Linked DNA regions of Canis lupus familiaris. The protein of the gene in region 4 interacts with the protein of the main gene of each other region in a biochemical or structural test. Links are inferred from orthologs where the notes say so. Each region holds a gene or a part of one and is shown on either strand. Other genes may lie near its edges.

Region 1 (4,068 bases), on a different chromosome or scaffold from region 4:
CTGTTCCAGGGGTACTGTCTTCCAGGTACCTTGCCCCACACTACAGTGGGGTTGTTCCCTTCCTCCCTGAGAAGTTTACTCCAGGCCTTTGGTGGCCGGGAGGTGGGAGACCGGACCTTTCCTGGACAGAGGCTCCGCCTTTTCCCCTCCCACTGATCTTCCCTCCCCAGGTCCTGACCTGTAAATGTTTTCTTTCTCCTGTTCCTCTCTCTCCCTCCATCTCCCTTCTCTTCCTGCGGAGATCTGAAATGCAGTTCCCTTCCCCCTGGAGCGTCCCCCTCAATGCCTGTACTACACTCTGCCCTTCTGTAGGGTTTTGAGAAATTGGGACTTGCCCTGGAGATGTGGAAGTCTGAACTCTGCATGCCCAAGGTAGCAGCCAGTGGGCTTGAGGACCCCCGGAGCCCTCAAATAAAGCCGTCCCATAGGGCTGTGACTCTGGGTGTACCCCACCCCCCACCCGGTCCCAGTCCCAGCCAGACGGTAGGGACTGAATTCTTTTATACCATCCAGGGCCTTGAAATATGATCTCATGAACTCTACTTGACCCTCCGGTGGCTGGGGCCCCCACCCCAATTAAATCAAGTTGACCCTTTTTTCAAGTTCTCTAGAACGTGAGCCTCTGTTCAGTGACACAGCTCGCTCCGAGCCTCGGGCGCCTTTCTTTAGTCTGTGGCTGCCACTGTGGAGTGTCTTAGGTGTCGTTGAAGTGTTCTCTTCTTTTAGGTGCTTACCTAGCCTTTTGTAGTAACAGGGGCTGGAGATTTTGTCTTTTGGAGTTCAAAACAGGCTGGTCCTCAGGGAGAATGACAGGGGCTTGTTGGTAAACTTGGAAATCCGCCTTTGCCTGAGGCCCCTGTGAGGGCTTGGGGAGAAGAGGCAGTCTGGGAACCCCTTGAGATGGGAGCATTTTGCACAGATCTCCCATTTCCTGGCGATAAGGACCTTAACTTTCCGCCACATTCAGAGGAACCTATACCCGAGACGGGTTAAGTTAAGCGCGGCAGCTCTATCCAGGCTGATGTTTTTCCACATAGCTCCAAACAAGCCCAGAGTTGAGACTCTGGAAGCCGTGGGGGCCTGGTGCTGTTTATAAACACAGATCTGAGGGGCAGGCGGGTAGGATGAAGCCATGGCAGGAAGTGATTTGCAAAGTGCTTGGGGCTTCTTCCTGAATGTTTGTGCCCCTCTCACACTGTCCCCCCTCCCAGTGTCAAGGGCAGGCTCCTTGGTGGTGGCAGCTGCTGAGAAATCCGAGTCGTGAACATATGGCAGCTTGAGGGATGTGCCCCAGGATGCTTGTGCGGCAGCTCCGGATGTCCAACCTGGTGAAAGGGCTGGGCCATGGCGGGGGCAGGGTGCTCCCAGGGGCGGGGTGATGGTAGAAGATGTGTTGTGGTCAGACTCGGCACACCGAGCCCACCTGCCTTTAGCTCCGTGGAGGGCACTCAGCTTCCACATGACGTCTCCTCTCCCCTCCAAGGCCTTGGGCCTCTTCCAGAAGAAACATCTTGTCTGCAAGCCTATTTTCTCTGCTCAAGGTAGGAAGTCAGGCCAAGGAAGGTGAAGTCTTTGTGTTTTTGTAAGCATTCTGGGCTCTCTGAGAGCCTACAGATTGCTTAAGTCCCAAGGCAGGAGGTGTGCTGGGATGTGAGGGGTCCCCAGGCCCCCAGATAGCTGGGTGGGAGTGGAAGGAAGTGCCCTTGGGACTCTGATGGCTCCTGCCACTGACACGTGGGGAGGCTCTGGGCCAGCCACGTTTTTCACGGGGCCTCGGTTTTCTAACCTGCCTGGTGGGCGTGGACCCTTGTGAGATTCGTGGCCGCAAAGAGCCCTTGTGCTTGGTGTGTGGCGGATGCTCCACATCTGTAGTGTGGGAATAGGAGGAAGGCCCTGCAGCGGGAAAAGGCTCCCCCTTGAGATTTTGCAGGCAGGATGGGCAGCCCCACATGTGTGTATCTGTCATTTTGTGCCTTGACAGCCTCTCTGCTATCAGCAGGAACCTGGTGGACGGCTGCCGAAATCTTAGAGGGCTCACATCTTGCATGGGTAGATGAGATGCCCAAAGTGCAGAGGGACCCTACAGAGGACCTGGGGTTGCCTAGGAACCCAGAGCTCCTGAGTCCTGGTGCTGCCCTCAGACTACACGCCTCACCCTTCAACAGCCAGGAAACGGGAAACACCAGAGCCTTCTGGCAGTGAGACTGCTACGTAAACACCCTGGCAGGGTTCCCACCCACCTCTAACTGTCAGACTCTCAAGTTGAATTTAAGGGCTTCATTGGTTTCCTTGGGTGCTGTCCTGCCCTGTGCCCGCCAGCTTCCCATATACACCTTCATCACTTGTACCTGTTTTCCCCATTCCCCTGGAAGTTTCTTTTTCCCCACCACATTTCATTCATTGCAGGCCAGCTTTGGGGCTCAGTGTGGGTGGCCCTGAAACCCTGCCGGCCTATCCATCCTTCAAGGATACTTTGCTTATGTAGCATATTGCGGAGTGTCAGTCCCCTTGGCGTCCCAGAGTCTCCCCGAGGCCAGGCTATGGTCAGGCCGCCCCAAAGAAAACATCAGCGTCAGCTGAGCTCTCGTGTTTGGTTTGATTTAGTCGGAGGGACCCTGCCAGGTAGTAAGTGCCAGACTCTGCTAGACCTCTTTCATCACTTTGCCACAGCTCACAGCCTCCGTGGCTGCTGTATTCCCAAAGCCTTCTCCTCAGACCCGTGGTTCTAAATGGGCCGAAACTGTTCCCAGGGCACACTTGGCAGTGTCTGGGGGACCTTTGTCATTATCACCACGGGAGCTTGGGGAGAGTTCCTGGCATCGAGTGGGTGGAGGTCAGGGATGCTGCTGAGTACCCAACAGTGCCCAGGATGGCCCCGCCCCAGAGAACAATCCAGTCCCAACGTCCACAGGGTCGAGGCAGAGAAGGCCTTCTGGAATGATCAGCAGACGTTTGATGTTCACCAGTGCTCAGCCCCATGTGGACACCCCTAGTGCAATAGAGAGAAATTACCCCTGGCTTTGGAGTCAGGCCTAGGTTTGAATCTTGGCTGTCATGTGGAGCTCCCCACAGCCCAGCAGGATTGTCATAAGAATCAGCGTTGAGTATATGATCACATGTGCAGCTCAGTTCCTGGCGAGTGATTGGTATTAAGTCGTGGCTACCATACTCCAGACTGAAGGGAAAATGTGTTTGTGGCCAACGTTGATTTTCTCTGCTTTCCGTATGTTACCTCATCTGGTCCTTCCCACATCCCAACGAAGTGGGTCCTGTCATCCTGACGAAGAGACTGAGGGTCACAGAGGCCATTAGTGTTCTTGGCTAGGGAGTGGCTGAGGCTGTTTACGGGTAAAGGAAGATTCCCAGTTCCTGCCCTGGGGATGCTTTCAGGCTTGAAGATGGGAAAAGAGAACTTAAAATAGAAGGCAGCGGTGTGTGTTGGGGGGGCGGTCAGAAGCTTTTGCTGCGTTGGCAGTGCTGAGGAAGGTTTGAGGAGGAAGAGGTGGAGGGGAGCAGGGTTAAGCTGGGAGGGGGCATCATAGGGAAGGGTGAGCGGGCAGCGTGAGCAAGGTCATGGAAGTGGGACTGAGCCTGGGCTGGTGGGCCTGGTGCCTACGCCTCCTCCTCCTCCTGGGCTCCTGCTCCTGCCCACCAGAGTGAAGGGGGTCTGGAGGGAGGGCCAGGCAGCACCTGATGGGCTCTCCTTTCGCTGTCCCCCCCGTTTAGGGCCCAGGTGGCTCCACGAAGCCCCTTGCCCCATTGGCAGTCCCCGAATCTGGCTGTGTCTCCTCTGAGCGTGTGTATCTGTGGTTGCTCTTCCCCAGAACATGGTGATGAGTTTCCGAGTCTCCGATCTTCAGATGCTCCTGGGTTTTGTTGGCCGGAGTAAGAGCGGACTTAAACACGAACTTGTCACCCGGGCCCTCCAGCTGGTCCAGTTTGACTGTAGCCCCGAGCTGTTCAAGAAAATCAAGGAGCTGTACGAAACGCGCTACGCCAAGAAGAGCTCAGAGCCTGTCCCCCAGCCCCACCGGCCCCTGGACCCCCTGACCATGCACTCAACCTACG
Region 2 (4,114 bases), on a different chromosome or scaffold from region 4:
ACATTTTGACCTGAAGGGTGAGAGGACCAATATATATACATATATATGGATATATATAGACATATATATATATATAGAAACACACACACACACACACACACACACACATATATGAAGACCCTCGCTTTTTCTGCTGAAGCCATGAAATATACAATCCTTGCTGCTGGGATCAGATGCCAGGAACATGGTAGCCAAGATACTTAATGTGCCAACTCCTCTATCACCTCCATGCCTCCTGCCCCACAACCAATATTTTTCATAATTCAAGCCAGGCTTTTTGGGGTCAGCCCTTAAGTCACTAGCCCCTGCCTCACCGTGTTGCATTTCTCAATCAGCAGCCGGATCTCAGGTTTCACTTTCTCAATAATGTCCACTAGCTGCTGGTTGCTTTTTAGCATCCCATTGGGCATCACGAACACCTTGGTTCCTGGCAGGGACATGAAGAAGGTCAAATGATTGAGGGATTGGGGGACAGGACATAATACCCCCACCTTCCTTGTTTCCCAGACCCATGAGATGCTATGATCTCTGCTTTTTATCTAAAATGAGTGTCTAAAGTGCCGAAGTCAAGGGATCCTTGGGTGGCTCAGCGGTTTAGCGCCTGCCTTTGGCCCAGGGTATGATCCTAGGGTCCCGGGATTGAGTCCTGCATCGGGCTCCCTGCACGGAGCCTGCTTCTCCCTCTGTCTATGTCTCTGCCTCTCTGCCTCTCTCTCTCTCATGAATAAATAAAATCCTTAAAAAAAAAAAAAGTGCCAAAATCTGAATAAGGAAAGAATAGGAAATTAAAATATGCTCTAAAGATTTAATGCACCAACTATTACTGAAAAAGAGAAAATAACTAGAACTTCTGTGGAAAATCTAAGATGTGTAGCCACCTCAAACCTCTCCCCCTTGACAGTCCACACTAAGTCAACCGCTCCCTATTTATTGGGAAATTAGGTTTGGGGTGCTAAATAATAACCATGTTTGTAGAACTTTGGAATGTTAACGCTGGAAAATAAAATTCGGTCTTGTTTTCTGATCAGAGACTGCCAGATCAATCCTCCTGCTCAGGGTTGCAAGCCAGGGAGTAGGTGGGCGGGGGAGACTGGCTCTTACCTTGGAAGGCCTCTTCACATTCATCCAACCTTCGCTTCTTGTAAGTGGGCTAAGGATACAGAGATAGGAATTAGTCTGCTCTTGACACCCATATTCCCATCACAAGTTACCCTTCAAGCAAGTCTAATCTCTTTGGCCCCATAGGCTGTTTTCATTTATGCACAATTTACTAAGCACATATAAGACTTTAAAAAAGATTCTTGCCACAAAGCAAGTTACAATCTAGTTGGGAAGACCAGCCTTCAAATGACACATTAAGCAACTGGGGGAGAGGGGTGGATACTATAAGCAACAGGAAAAATGAACCATTCAAAGCACAGTGAGTATACTAAAGGGAATATGTACAAATCTTCAACTTCCACAAAGAAGTACAATATTCAATCAACAAACATGTACTTAGCACCTACTATGTACCAAGTACAGTGCTAGGTGCTAGGGATACAAAGATGATTAATAGTTTCTGTTTTCCAGAATTGCAAGCTCTATCAAGGACACAGTAATTCAGACAATACAGTGTTAACACTGTTATTATGAAATGTGGACATGTAACTGGCAAGCACGGGGTTCTAAATATATGTCACATAGACAGAGACTACAGTTATATAGCAAGCACTACTCATCCTCTAACAATACTCAAGACATTGAAAAAGGTAAGAAATATCTTGTTTAGAGCCACAGGGACAGACCAGATAACTTGAGGAAACCTGTAGCTACTAGTCCTATTAGGAACTCACTGTAGGACAAAGTAACATTACATTACACACTTCATGCTATAAATGAAAACCAGGGTCTCAAAGTGGTATACTGGAATCATCAGGTCTATAAGAGCCCTTGTTCCTAGATCCTAATCCACTGTCTCCTCCGTATGTGTTTAAATTGACTAGGAAGTAAAGAACAGAGACTAGAGAACTATTGCTTCAGAATACAAAGAAAAATACAGGACACTCACACCGTCCAGTCCATCGTGGCTATTGGTGAGAAGAATAGGATCAGGGACTGGGAGATTCATGTCTGAGTGGATCTGAGTTAGGTCATGGATGTTTAGGATTGGTTCCTGAAAGAGAGACGCCCACCCCCAAAACAACATCAGTCTTTTCAAAATGAACAAAGAAGTATTTTATTTGAAGGGCAAGAAATGAGAGCATTTTACTGTACAAAACAAAATAGAATCAACACATGATTTCTCCCATTTGACAGAAAGACCAGAGCCAAAAAAACGGGAATTTGAAGAAAAGAGTCTCTCACCTTCAAAAAGCTATCAAGTTCTAACAACTTCTTTGGGAAGAAATTTGCCACCAAGTCTTCTGCCTAAAAATGAAGGAAAATACAGCTCAATTAATAATTGTGGGAAGGTCTCTCTCTACAGATCTCTTCTTTGGGAAATTCCCAACTATCAACCAACGCTTATTTATTTTATTTTATTTTATTTTTTTTATTGCACTCACCTCACTTGTGATCCGCTCCCTGAAAGAATCAACCTAAAATTAACAAAGAGAGCAATTCAGTAACAGCAAGTCAGTACCTGGCAACAGAGGTTAAGGGCAGGACGGGAAAACCCAAATCCAGCCGTACTCCCCTCACCTTGTAATTGTAATGAGAAGCTGAGAGACCCCCAGACTGTAAATACTTTATTTTTTTGAGGATCCATTTCTCCATCTCAGGAGAGGGAAGTGGGGTTTGAGGGTAGCACCCGCCTGCTTTCCCTCCCACCCTCCCTCCTTGTGTCTGAAGCTGTCTGGATTTGAGAGCAAACGAAAGTCAGGTAGACAGGGGGCATGTGAGCTCACAAACGTGCCAAGCCCCCATCCAGACCTAGCCTTTGATACCAGGGAGGCCTGACGCCAAGGGTAGGGGTAGAACAGCGGTAGCATCCGGAGGCGGGGACGTTGCTGGACTGGGGACTTCCAGCTGTCACTGGCCTAAAGTGTTGAGTCCACCACGTGTCCGCGGAGGTCTCCTCGGGGATCTCCACCACCAGATGCGGTTCACAAGGCCACCCCATATTATCCTCTCCCCTGATGCCGTCTCCGGGAGTGGGGGGCTGGGCTGAGCTGAGCGGAAGCTCAGAGCTGGTGTCCCCAGGGAGACAAAGACGCCATGGGGAGTGGGGAGCCGGTCAGACTGCTCGGGAATCGAAGCGGGGGGTAAGGAGGCCCAGACCGGTGCCGCTACCTTGAGCTTCACTTCCTGATCCACCTTCAGCAACGAGGCCATGGCCGGGCCGGGCCGTGTCCGCTCCACTGGAGACCAGAGGCGCTGTGGGCTCCGGGGAGGGGGTCAGAGGGACGGGAAGAATCTCGGCTGTTCTAGGGACGCGACCGCCCTCGCTGGCTCACTCACTGCTCGCTCGCTCCCTCCCTCCGAGCCGTCCGCCCGCCCGCCTGCTGCCTGCTGCCTGCTCACTCTCTCGCTCGCCCTCCCGGCTTTCGCCGCTCACGCCGGAAGTTACATCACAGCCAATCGCCGGGACTCCGGAGAGGCGCACGTGCCCTGCGCAGCCGCGCTGGGGTCCAGCCCTGGACGTCCGAGACCGGACTCCTAGCAGCCGGCATCCAATGCCGGGTAAGGGCGAAGTAGGAGGGAGAGCAGCCGAGGGTGGTTTGCTTAAAACTGAGCATTAGAGAGACTCCAGGACTGTTGGACATTCTGTTAGCTCGGCGCTCGCCCTCATCACAGGGACCTTCTGAACCGCTGCCGCCTCGAGGACAGGACGGACAGCGCCGTCGCGCCCCAGTGACGTCGGCCCGAGGAAGCCGGCGGCCCCGGCGCTGGGCTCGGGGGTTCTACTCTGTGATTCTTGCTGCCTCCTCCCGTCGGCCGAAGCTCTAGTGTTAGGCTAGAGTCAAACAGAAGTCAAGCTCTGTTGTCCCAGGCTTCTCCACCTTCCTCCGTCACTTAGCCTCATACAGTTCGAGACCTCAGAGATCAGCTGCCTGATGGGCAGATTGACAACCGGAGCGCGGCATTGCTTGTCCAAGCCCACACAGTTTCCAGACCCAGATCTCCCGACTTT
Region 3 (4,212 bases), on a different chromosome or scaffold from region 4:
TAGCCTTCACTTCCTGGTTGCAACTAACATGTTTAGCAGCCAATGTTGGAATCTTAGGCCTTTTTGGGGTCTTTCCTGAGATGCATCTTGTCTCAGGCATGTTACATGGCCTTCTAAATGCCCCTGTGTTCATGAGCACTTTTCATTTTGAATGACCTAAATTCCCAGTATACTTCTCTCCTTAGCTTTTACTCCCAGGCTTTAGGTGGTCTATTTAGGTACCAATGGTAACCTTCGTCCCCAGGCAGTTGCAGGTTGTTTATTTACCTTACAGTATTTTCAGGCAATGTCTGCCGCTTTTCTGCTGGTTAAGCAAAAGAGAGATAAGCCTTGCGTTAGTCCTTCAGCTGGCTTCCAGGAAGATTAGAACAGATGAAAACAATGATTTCCAGGGACTAGAGCTCCATCCTAGGAAGGTGGGCTGCGGTGGCCAAGTCATAGATAGAGTAGGGCAGGGATAAATGAAAGTATCATAAAGTTTTCTTGCCATTTTTAAGTTGTCTTATTTTATTTTACTTTATTTTTTGGATTGAACATTTACTTGGTTGACTGTTTTCCAGAATTCTGACAAAGTTGGTCTGACAGTTGCTGGTTATTTTTTAAAGTTTCCATGGAGGTATGGGGGTTTAGAGCTGTCAGTTCTGCCATTTTGATGATATCCCTCTCCTCACAATTTTGATACATTGTATCTTCAATATTTATATACATGTATACTTTTTAGATATTCATATTCATATATACATATATATATGAAAAAATGTGTACTTTTGTATTGAAGTAATTATAGATTCACAGGAGATTGCAAAGAAATGTATAGGGAAGTCACATGCATCCTTTCCCCAGTCTCCCTGGAAGTTAATATTTTGTGGAACTAAAGTGTAATATCAAAACCATGAAATTGACATTGGTAGGAACCACCCTTTCCCCCCATCCCTAATTCCTTGACAACCACTAGTCTATTCTCTATCTCTGTATTTATGTTATTTCATTAATGTTACATAATAGACATCCTTTTGGGATTATTATTTTTTCAATCAGTATAATTTCCATGAAGTTTATCCAAGTTGTTGTGTGTTTTTGTTTTTGTTTTTAAATTGCTAAGTAGTATTCCATAAGATACCTGTATTGCAGTTTGTTTAGCCATTTACCCATTAAAGGAGATTTGGATAGTTTCTGGTTTGGGATTCTTATAAAGCTGCTATGAACATTCTTTTTTTTTTAATTTTTATTTATTTATGATAGTCACAGAGAGAGAGAGCGAGAGAGGCAGAGACATAGGCAGAGGGAGAAGCAGGCTCCATGCACTGGGAGCCCGACGTGGGATTCGATCCCGGGTCTCCAGGATCGCGCCCTGGGCCAAAGACAGGCGCCAAACCGCTGCACCACCCAAGGATCCCTGCTATGAACATTCTTGTACAATTCCCTTCATGGAAAGAAGTTTTTGTTTCTCCGGGATAAATGTCCAAGAGTTGTTGGGTTGTATGGTGAGTACCTTTTCAGTTTTCAAAGAACGGCCAAACTCTTTTCCAAAATGGCTATACCATTCCTACCACAAACTTGTGTGTGATCCCTATCTAAGAAAGCTACTTCTCACTCAAGGTTATAGAGACTTACCCCAAAGAGTTTTAAAGTTTTAACTCATATTTAGGTCTATGATTAATTCGAAGTTAATTTTTACATGTTGGTGGGACAATCATTTTAGGGCCCACAAAAATGTTTTAAATCCTTAAAATCAGAAGAAAAAAATAAGCATACTCTGCTTGGATTGCATTAGTCTTTACCAATACAAATGTAAAATGTAGTTTTAAAAATATATATATTAAAGAAACTCTGAGGTTCTGACACTAAATCTTTCCATACCAATTCTTCTAACACCAACTAAATATCCAATAATTCAGTTTTGACATCAACTCCAGGGATAAGTTGAGATCCCACAGGTTAAGGGCTCAGTTCCACAAGACTGCTCCTACTTCAGATACCAGTTGCCAGTCTCATGGGCCACTTGAACTTCTGACCTACCAAATTTGAGAATTCCTATAATTTCTGCTCAGTTTTGATTATCTATTAGAATGGACTCACAAAACTCAGGAAAACATTTTACTTACATTTACCACTTTATTATTATTATTATCATTATTATTTTAAAATATTTTATTTATTCATTTCAGACAGAGAGAGAACATGAGCAGGGGGAGAGACAGATGGAGAAGGAGAAGAAGGTTCCCCACTGAGCAGGGAGCCCAATACAGGACTCGATCCCAGGACCTTGAGATCATGACCTGAGCCAAAGGCAGATGCTTAATCATCTGAGCTACCCAGGTGCCCCCTACCAGTTTAATATATAGGAAATAACTCAGGAACAGCTAAGTGAAAGAGATTCATAGGGTAATGCATGAAGGGCGGGAATGCAGAGCTTCTCTGCTCTCTCTTGGCGCCCATTTCCTAGTACTTCCATGTATCTACTAACCTCCCTCTAATCACTTTAGTCTTTCTTTCTTTCTTTTTTTTTTTTTTTTGATTTTATTTATTTGAGAGAGAACATGAGCAGGGGGGAGGGGTAGAAGGAGAGGGAGAAGCAGACTCCCCACTGAGCAGGGAGCCTCATGTGAGATTTGATTCTAAGACTCTCAGATCATAACCTGAGCTGAAGGCAGATGCTTAACCGACTGAGCCACCCAGGTGCCCAATGTTTAGTCTTTCCAGTGACCAGCTCCCATCCATTTTTTTTTTTTTTTTTAAGATTTATTTAGTTATTGCAGTTCTGCTGTGAGGTCATTTTAGATAATACAGAATTGACAGGTGGTTTTGGAAACAGAGATTATTAATAATCTTGATAAGTGATCTCGATGAGAGAAGTCAAGGCTGGATCGGAGTGGGCTGAGAAGGGAATGTGGTAGGAGAAGGGAATGAGGAAAGGAGAACAATCACTGTTGGGAGATCTTGAAAAACCTGAGAATTTATGCACTGAAGAGGGAGAAATAGGGCAGTTCTGGAGGAGATTTTGGAGTCAAGGGAGGTTTGTTTTAGATGGGAGGAATTTCAGTATGTTTGTATCCTGATAGAAGTAATCTAATAGGGGAAAAAGTTATGATGCTGGAGGGCGAGGTGATTGTAGGAGTAAAGTTTTTAGGAATGTGGGAGGGAAAGGAATCCAGGTCACTGGTAGAGGGACTGGCATTCATAGGCGCAAGGACACTTCATTCATAGTAACCCAAATGTTACTATGTCTGTAATAATAGTTTTGATGGTGAGAAGATAAGGGAGTTCATGGCTGTTATATCTTTTAATTTTTTTCCATGAGGAATGAAGCAAAAATTGAGAGCAAAGAGTGGAGGTTGGGAAGCTTTCAGTAGCGAGGAAAAGGTGTGAAATAATTCATCACATCTGCTCAAACGTCAAAATATTGGAGAAAGCCCTCCCGGTATCAAGCACATCTCCTTCCAACCGCTTTTTTCTCCCTGGACCTTTTTAGCTCTTTTCCGGTACTCCTCACCATTTGTAATTGTATCTTTTATCGGTGCACTTGTCTGTTCCTCCAGTAGAGAGCTACATACAGGAGGGCGGGGACTCTTTTTTTTTTTTTTTTTTAAATTTCCCCGATGTATTCACAAAGAAACAGGACTGGTACATAATCAGTGAATCATCACTCGTTGAAACAGAGTTAAATGAACGAACGTCTATGAAATTTTGTCTCCGGGTCACCGCTGTCAAAGTGTTTGGGCCACTCACTTTTCCCCTTCCCTGAGCTCTCATTTCTGACTACGTAGGATGCCACGGGGATTGTAACGTCTCCTCTGCCCACCTCACCGCGCCGTCATGAGGAACATCTGAGCTAAGAAATCTGGAAATGCTTCATCCAGCGATCTGCAAACGTAACGGATTATTTTTAGCGCACGCGTGGCCTCACAGGTAGCAGGTGCTGAAAAGGACTCGCTGGCTGCGCCGGGGGGGAGGGGGGAGGCGGAGGAGGGGGGAGGCGAGGGGGCCGTTATGGTTTCTGGGACTGCAGGCATCCAAGCTTTGCAAGAAGGGTTCTGCAGGCCACGGAGAGGCGGGGCTCTGGCCCGCACCCCCCCCGCCCCCCCGCTCCGGCTTTCCCCGGAGGCGCTAGCCCGGCGAGGATGGGGGGCGGGGAGGTCCAGGGGGGAGTAACTGTCAAACCTCCTCGCTTGGCGCCTTTATTTAAATGGTACGTGCGGGTCTCGCTGCTGT
Region 4 (3,500 bases):
CACATTAGCTCACTGAATTAACCAACTGTGGGCAGGGTTTGTGGATCTGCAGCTACGAGACCGGAGGGACTCAGTGCCCGCCTGGCCCCGAGTTTTGCTAACTGCACTCTGGTGCTCTAAGCGCAGCCTTCTCTGGCCGCTTTGGTGTGCTATCTGTCCGGGGGCGCCTGCGGCCACAAGCCAGATAGGAAACTGTCACCTACAGGTGGAGCACCAGCGGGGGAGGGAAAGGAGGCTGTGAGAGGCGAGGCTCTGCACCGCGGTCCTTCTGCATGCCCATCCCTGCCCGGGCTGGGGTGGGGGTGGTGGCACCTCCTCCCCAGGAAGCGCCCGGGAGCTGTCCAGGGCATCACAGCCAGGGCCTGTGACTAGGCCCATTACGTGCAGCTCCCAGCACTGGGCGCTAGGAACGGGTTCAGATCCACAGCCGGCTTCGAGGATGAGTGCCCCTGGAAATGCCCCCAGGGAACATGGGACTTCCGATCTCCGCTGGACTTCACTCTACTTACATTTTGGGGGTGAGGATGGATAATCGTCTTTGAAAAGCATCCGTAGTTTAAACAAGCCTCCTTCCCAGGGAGTCTGTTGGGAAGCAAAGCTGTAGTTAGGTGTGCTGCTGGCCTCTGTGGTGGGCCGAGCCCAGGAGCAGCTGGCTTCTGTAGCAGGTCCCCCAGCACTGCCCCCACAGGGAGGTGGGCTCCTACACTGGCCCAAAGATCAGCTGTCCCCGTGACAGGACTGTCGGTGCTTCCGTGGGCCCCAAGGGGCCCTGGGAAGAGCCCTCCCCAGAGAGGAGCAGGGCTGGAGCTGGACTTCTGGGAAGACAGGCAAGGCCTGGCAGGCTGTCCCTGGTGACCCCAGGATGAGGGATTGGGATCTTTACTTGAGCAGCTGCCTCGAGGCCCCCCACTCCAGCTCCATGACCCTCCCCAGCCTCCTCTGGGAGGGAGATGGCCACACTGTGCCTGCCCTGGCCTCAGATGAGGGGCCAGGAATGGTCTTAGCAAAAGCAGAGGTGCAGGCTGGGCGCTCAAAGGTCGGAGAACCCAAAGCACATCATCTTGCAGACAAAGCCATGTCCTAATCCCATTGGCTTAGCAGAAAGAAAGGAGACTGACTGTTGGGAACCACCAAGGCTGAGCTCCTGGGACGGTCATCGTGAACCATGGGAGGAAGAAACAGAAGCGATGAGGTGTCGGACCTAATGGGGACCCCTTAGGGGCCTCCTCTCTCTTTCAGGGTTTCCCGGGAAGAGCCAGATGTGGGGTTGCTGGAGATCCTCACTTCCAAATGCTTCAAGCACGCCCATCCTAACCGGCCTGGCACACGTAGGCCGCACACGGCTTTCCCAGGGGGCCCACGTGGGACTTCCACACCTGAGGGCCAGCAGCCGCCCTGGGCTCAAAGACCACCAGGACCCAGCATCACGAGGCTGATCCTGAAGGAAAATGCGAAGGCCCTCAAGGCTCCTCTTGCCCCAGAGATGCAGCAGGTCTGCCCCCCAGGCTTGGTGGGGGTGCCCAGCAACCCCCTTCCTCAGCCCAGCTCCTGCTTTCTGAATTACAGCTGCCCTGGGGGGCTGTGTGTGTCACATGTCACCTTGGCCTCCTCCCCACTCCTCCAAGAGGGCATGGGGCCCACACACGGGGCTAGCCGAGGAGCAGCACCTCTTACCCCTTTCTTCCCTGGAATGGCACACTCCCAGTTCATGAGGTTCATCGTGCCGTCGGGATTCTTTGTCGGGACAGCCACAAAGCCCTGAGAGAAAACAACCACACAAGCACATCAGCGCCGCGGCATCTCGTCTCACCCACTCGCAGAACCATCCCATGACCCCCCACGGGCCCTCCGCACAGAGCACGTGACAGGCCCGGGCTGGACGGGGACGTCCCGGTTTCCGTCAGGAGAAACGGATCCACTCTGCTGTGTGCAGAAATAAAGCTTTCCTTACAAACGGGTGGTCCTTTCTCCAGGCTTTCCTCTCCTGGGCGAGTCTGCTGAGAGCGATCCCCGACATGTTCAAAGTCCCTGGAAGAGACCAGGCAGGGCGTGTGGTTAGCAAGGGTCGGCCTCAGGCTCCTCCGGCCCCTCTGCTCTCACAGCTTGCTGCACATGCACCGTGCTCTCAGCGAGCCACCCCACCTGGGGGCCCCACGGGGCTGACCCGGCCTCCCCCCTCCCAGGGCCCCCACTGTGGTCTCCATTTCCCAGTGACCCCGAGGTGCAGGGAGGTGAAGGCACAGGCCTGGGGCTACACAACTGTCCAGTGCTGCACAGAAAGGCCTGGCCAAGCACTCCCGGCAGACGCCTGCACACCTGTCCCCCTTGCCAGTGCCGAGGTGGGGGGCATTAGGCCCGCGGCTCAGAATCTAGGTTCTTGTCTGGTCAGGAGAACCACCCTTATTCTTTTTTTTTTTTTTTTTTAAGATTTTTATTTATTTATTCATGACACAGAGAGAGAGAGACAGAGACACAGGCAGCGGGAGAAGCAGGCTCCACGCAGGGAGCCCGACGCAGGACTCGACCCCGGGTCTCCAGGATCACACCCTGGGCTGAAGGTGGCGCCAAACTGCTGGGCCACTGGGGCTGCCCAAACCACACTTATTCTTGAAAGCAATGGAGTACAAAGGTGCCCCAGGGCGGACATCAGTTCACACCGCATCATGCGCAAGTCCCTGGACAGCACCCAGCCCCCAGCACCCAAGAGACCCACCTCTCACCAGGGCCCCAGGCGCTACCCACTGCCGTCTCCACTTACCCATCCCACAGCCACCCCCTGCCCCCAGATCCACAGCCGCCCCACAAACAACAAATGGATCAAGGCCTATCTCCCATTTACTCAGGGAGTCAGCAGGAGGTGAGTGGCCAGCCCACAGCCTGCCCAGCGTCCACCTGTCCTGGGAGCGTGCTGGCTGTGGGAGACGGCAGCTCCGAGCCCCCAAGGCCTGGTGCCTCTGGCTGTTCCCACCAGTGGCCTGGCGCCCGCTGAGCACACCTGTGCGCAGCCTGCAGGTGGAACAGACTCTCTGGGCTGCCGCTCACCCAGCAAAGAACAGGCTGGGGCGCCCCCAGCTGCCCTTGGCTCCCTCCTGCCCTGGGAGAATCTTGCCCTGAGTCTGTTTGCTGCTCTTCAAAGTCCATGGAAACATCGAGGACTCCTAGAATCCAACATTTACCATAAACAAGGCTTTAACAAGACAAAGAGGGTGTCTCCTAGAAGGGGATGACAGCAGCCTGCCCCAACCCTTCAGGCAGGCTTCATGGACACCTGGCAACAAGTCTCTGCTCTGCTCTTATGGGGTTAAAGGTCCAACAACCCACGCTCCTGAGTACAATGCGGGGTTCTCCACAACTACCAGGGTTTTCAGTTGGGTTCAGGAGAACCACCTCCCAGCCATGTTCCTGGGCTCAGGTTCACCTACACCCCTGCTTCCCCACCAGGCTCGACAGACCTGGGAACGACCAGAAGGTAGGGCCCTGGCTAAGTGTGGAGCCTCAAC

Evidence for each region.
Region 1: the proteins of UBE2I (region 4) and PIAS4 form a complex in vitro, tested with the Homo sapiens proteins (4 studies listed by BioGRID). The link is inferred for Canis lupus familiaris from reciprocal best matches to the Homo sapiens genes UBE2I and PIAS4.
Region 2: of the proteins of UBE2I (region 4) and PSME3, one has a biochemical effect on the other in vitro, tested with the Homo sapiens proteins (2 studies listed by BioGRID). The link is inferred for Canis lupus familiaris from reciprocal best matches to the Homo sapiens genes UBE2I and PSME3.
Region 3: the proteins of UBE2I (region 4) and PIAS1 form a complex in vitro, tested with the Homo sapiens proteins (12 studies listed by BioGRID, with this or other methods). The link is inferred for Canis lupus familiaris from reciprocal best matches to the Homo sapiens genes UBE2I and PIAS1.

What each region holds. Positions count from the first base shown.
Region 1 is NC_049241.1:55,944,840-55,948,907, reverse strand, and holds the start of PIAS4 (E3 SUMO-protein ligase PIAS4), read left to right. Parts: upstream 1-1,268; 5' UTR 1,269-1,283; coding exon 1,284-1,328; intron 1,329-3,726; exon of another isoform or gene 3,727-3,824; coding exon 3,825-4,068.
Region 2 is NC_049230.1:20,062,001-20,066,114, forward strand, and holds the start of PSME3 (proteasome activator complex subunit 3), read right to left. Parts: upstream 2,801-4,114; 5' UTR 2,758-2,800; coding exon 2,683-2,757; intron 2,580-2,682; coding exon 2,547-2,579; intron 2,410-2,546; coding exon 2,347-2,409; intron 2,156-2,346; coding exon 2,051-2,155; intron 1,151-2,050; coding exon 1,102-1,150; intron 428-1,101; coding exon 315-427; intron 11-314; coding exon 1-10. UniProt on the Homo sapiens protein: Subunit of the 11S REG-gamma (also called PA28-gamma) proteasome regulator, a doughnut-shaped homoheptamer which associates with the proteasome. 11S REG-gamma activates the trypsin-like catalytic subunit of the proteasome but inhibits the chymotrypsin-like and postglutamyl-preferring (PGPH) subunits.
Region 3 is NC_049251.1:32,546,733-32,550,944, forward strand, and holds the start of PIAS1 (E3 SUMO-protein ligase PIAS1), read left to right. Parts: upstream 1-1,412; 5' UTR 1,413-1,427; coding exon 1,428-1,484; intron 1,485-2,720; exon of another isoform or gene 2,721-3,864; intron 3,865-4,212. UniProt on the Homo sapiens protein: Functions as an E3-type small ubiquitin-like modifier (SUMO) ligase, stabilizing the interaction between UBE2I and the substrate, and as a SUMO-tethering factor. Catalyzes sumoylation of various proteins, such as CEBPB, MRE11, MTA1, PTK2 and PML.
Region 4 is NC_049227.1:39,919,405-39,922,904, forward strand, and holds part of UBE2I (SUMO-conjugating enzyme UBC9), read right to left. Parts: intron 2,029-3,500; 5' UTR 2,018-2,028; coding exon 1,952-2,017; intron 1,759-1,951; coding exon 1,675-1,758; intron 583-1,674; coding exon 510-582; intron 1-509. UniProt on the Homo sapiens protein: Accepts the ubiquitin-like proteins SUMO1, SUMO2, SUMO3, SUMO4 and SUMO1P1/SUMO5 from the UBLE1A-UBLE1B E1 complex and catalyzes their covalent attachment to other proteins with the help of an E3 ligase such as RANBP2, CBX4 and ZNF451.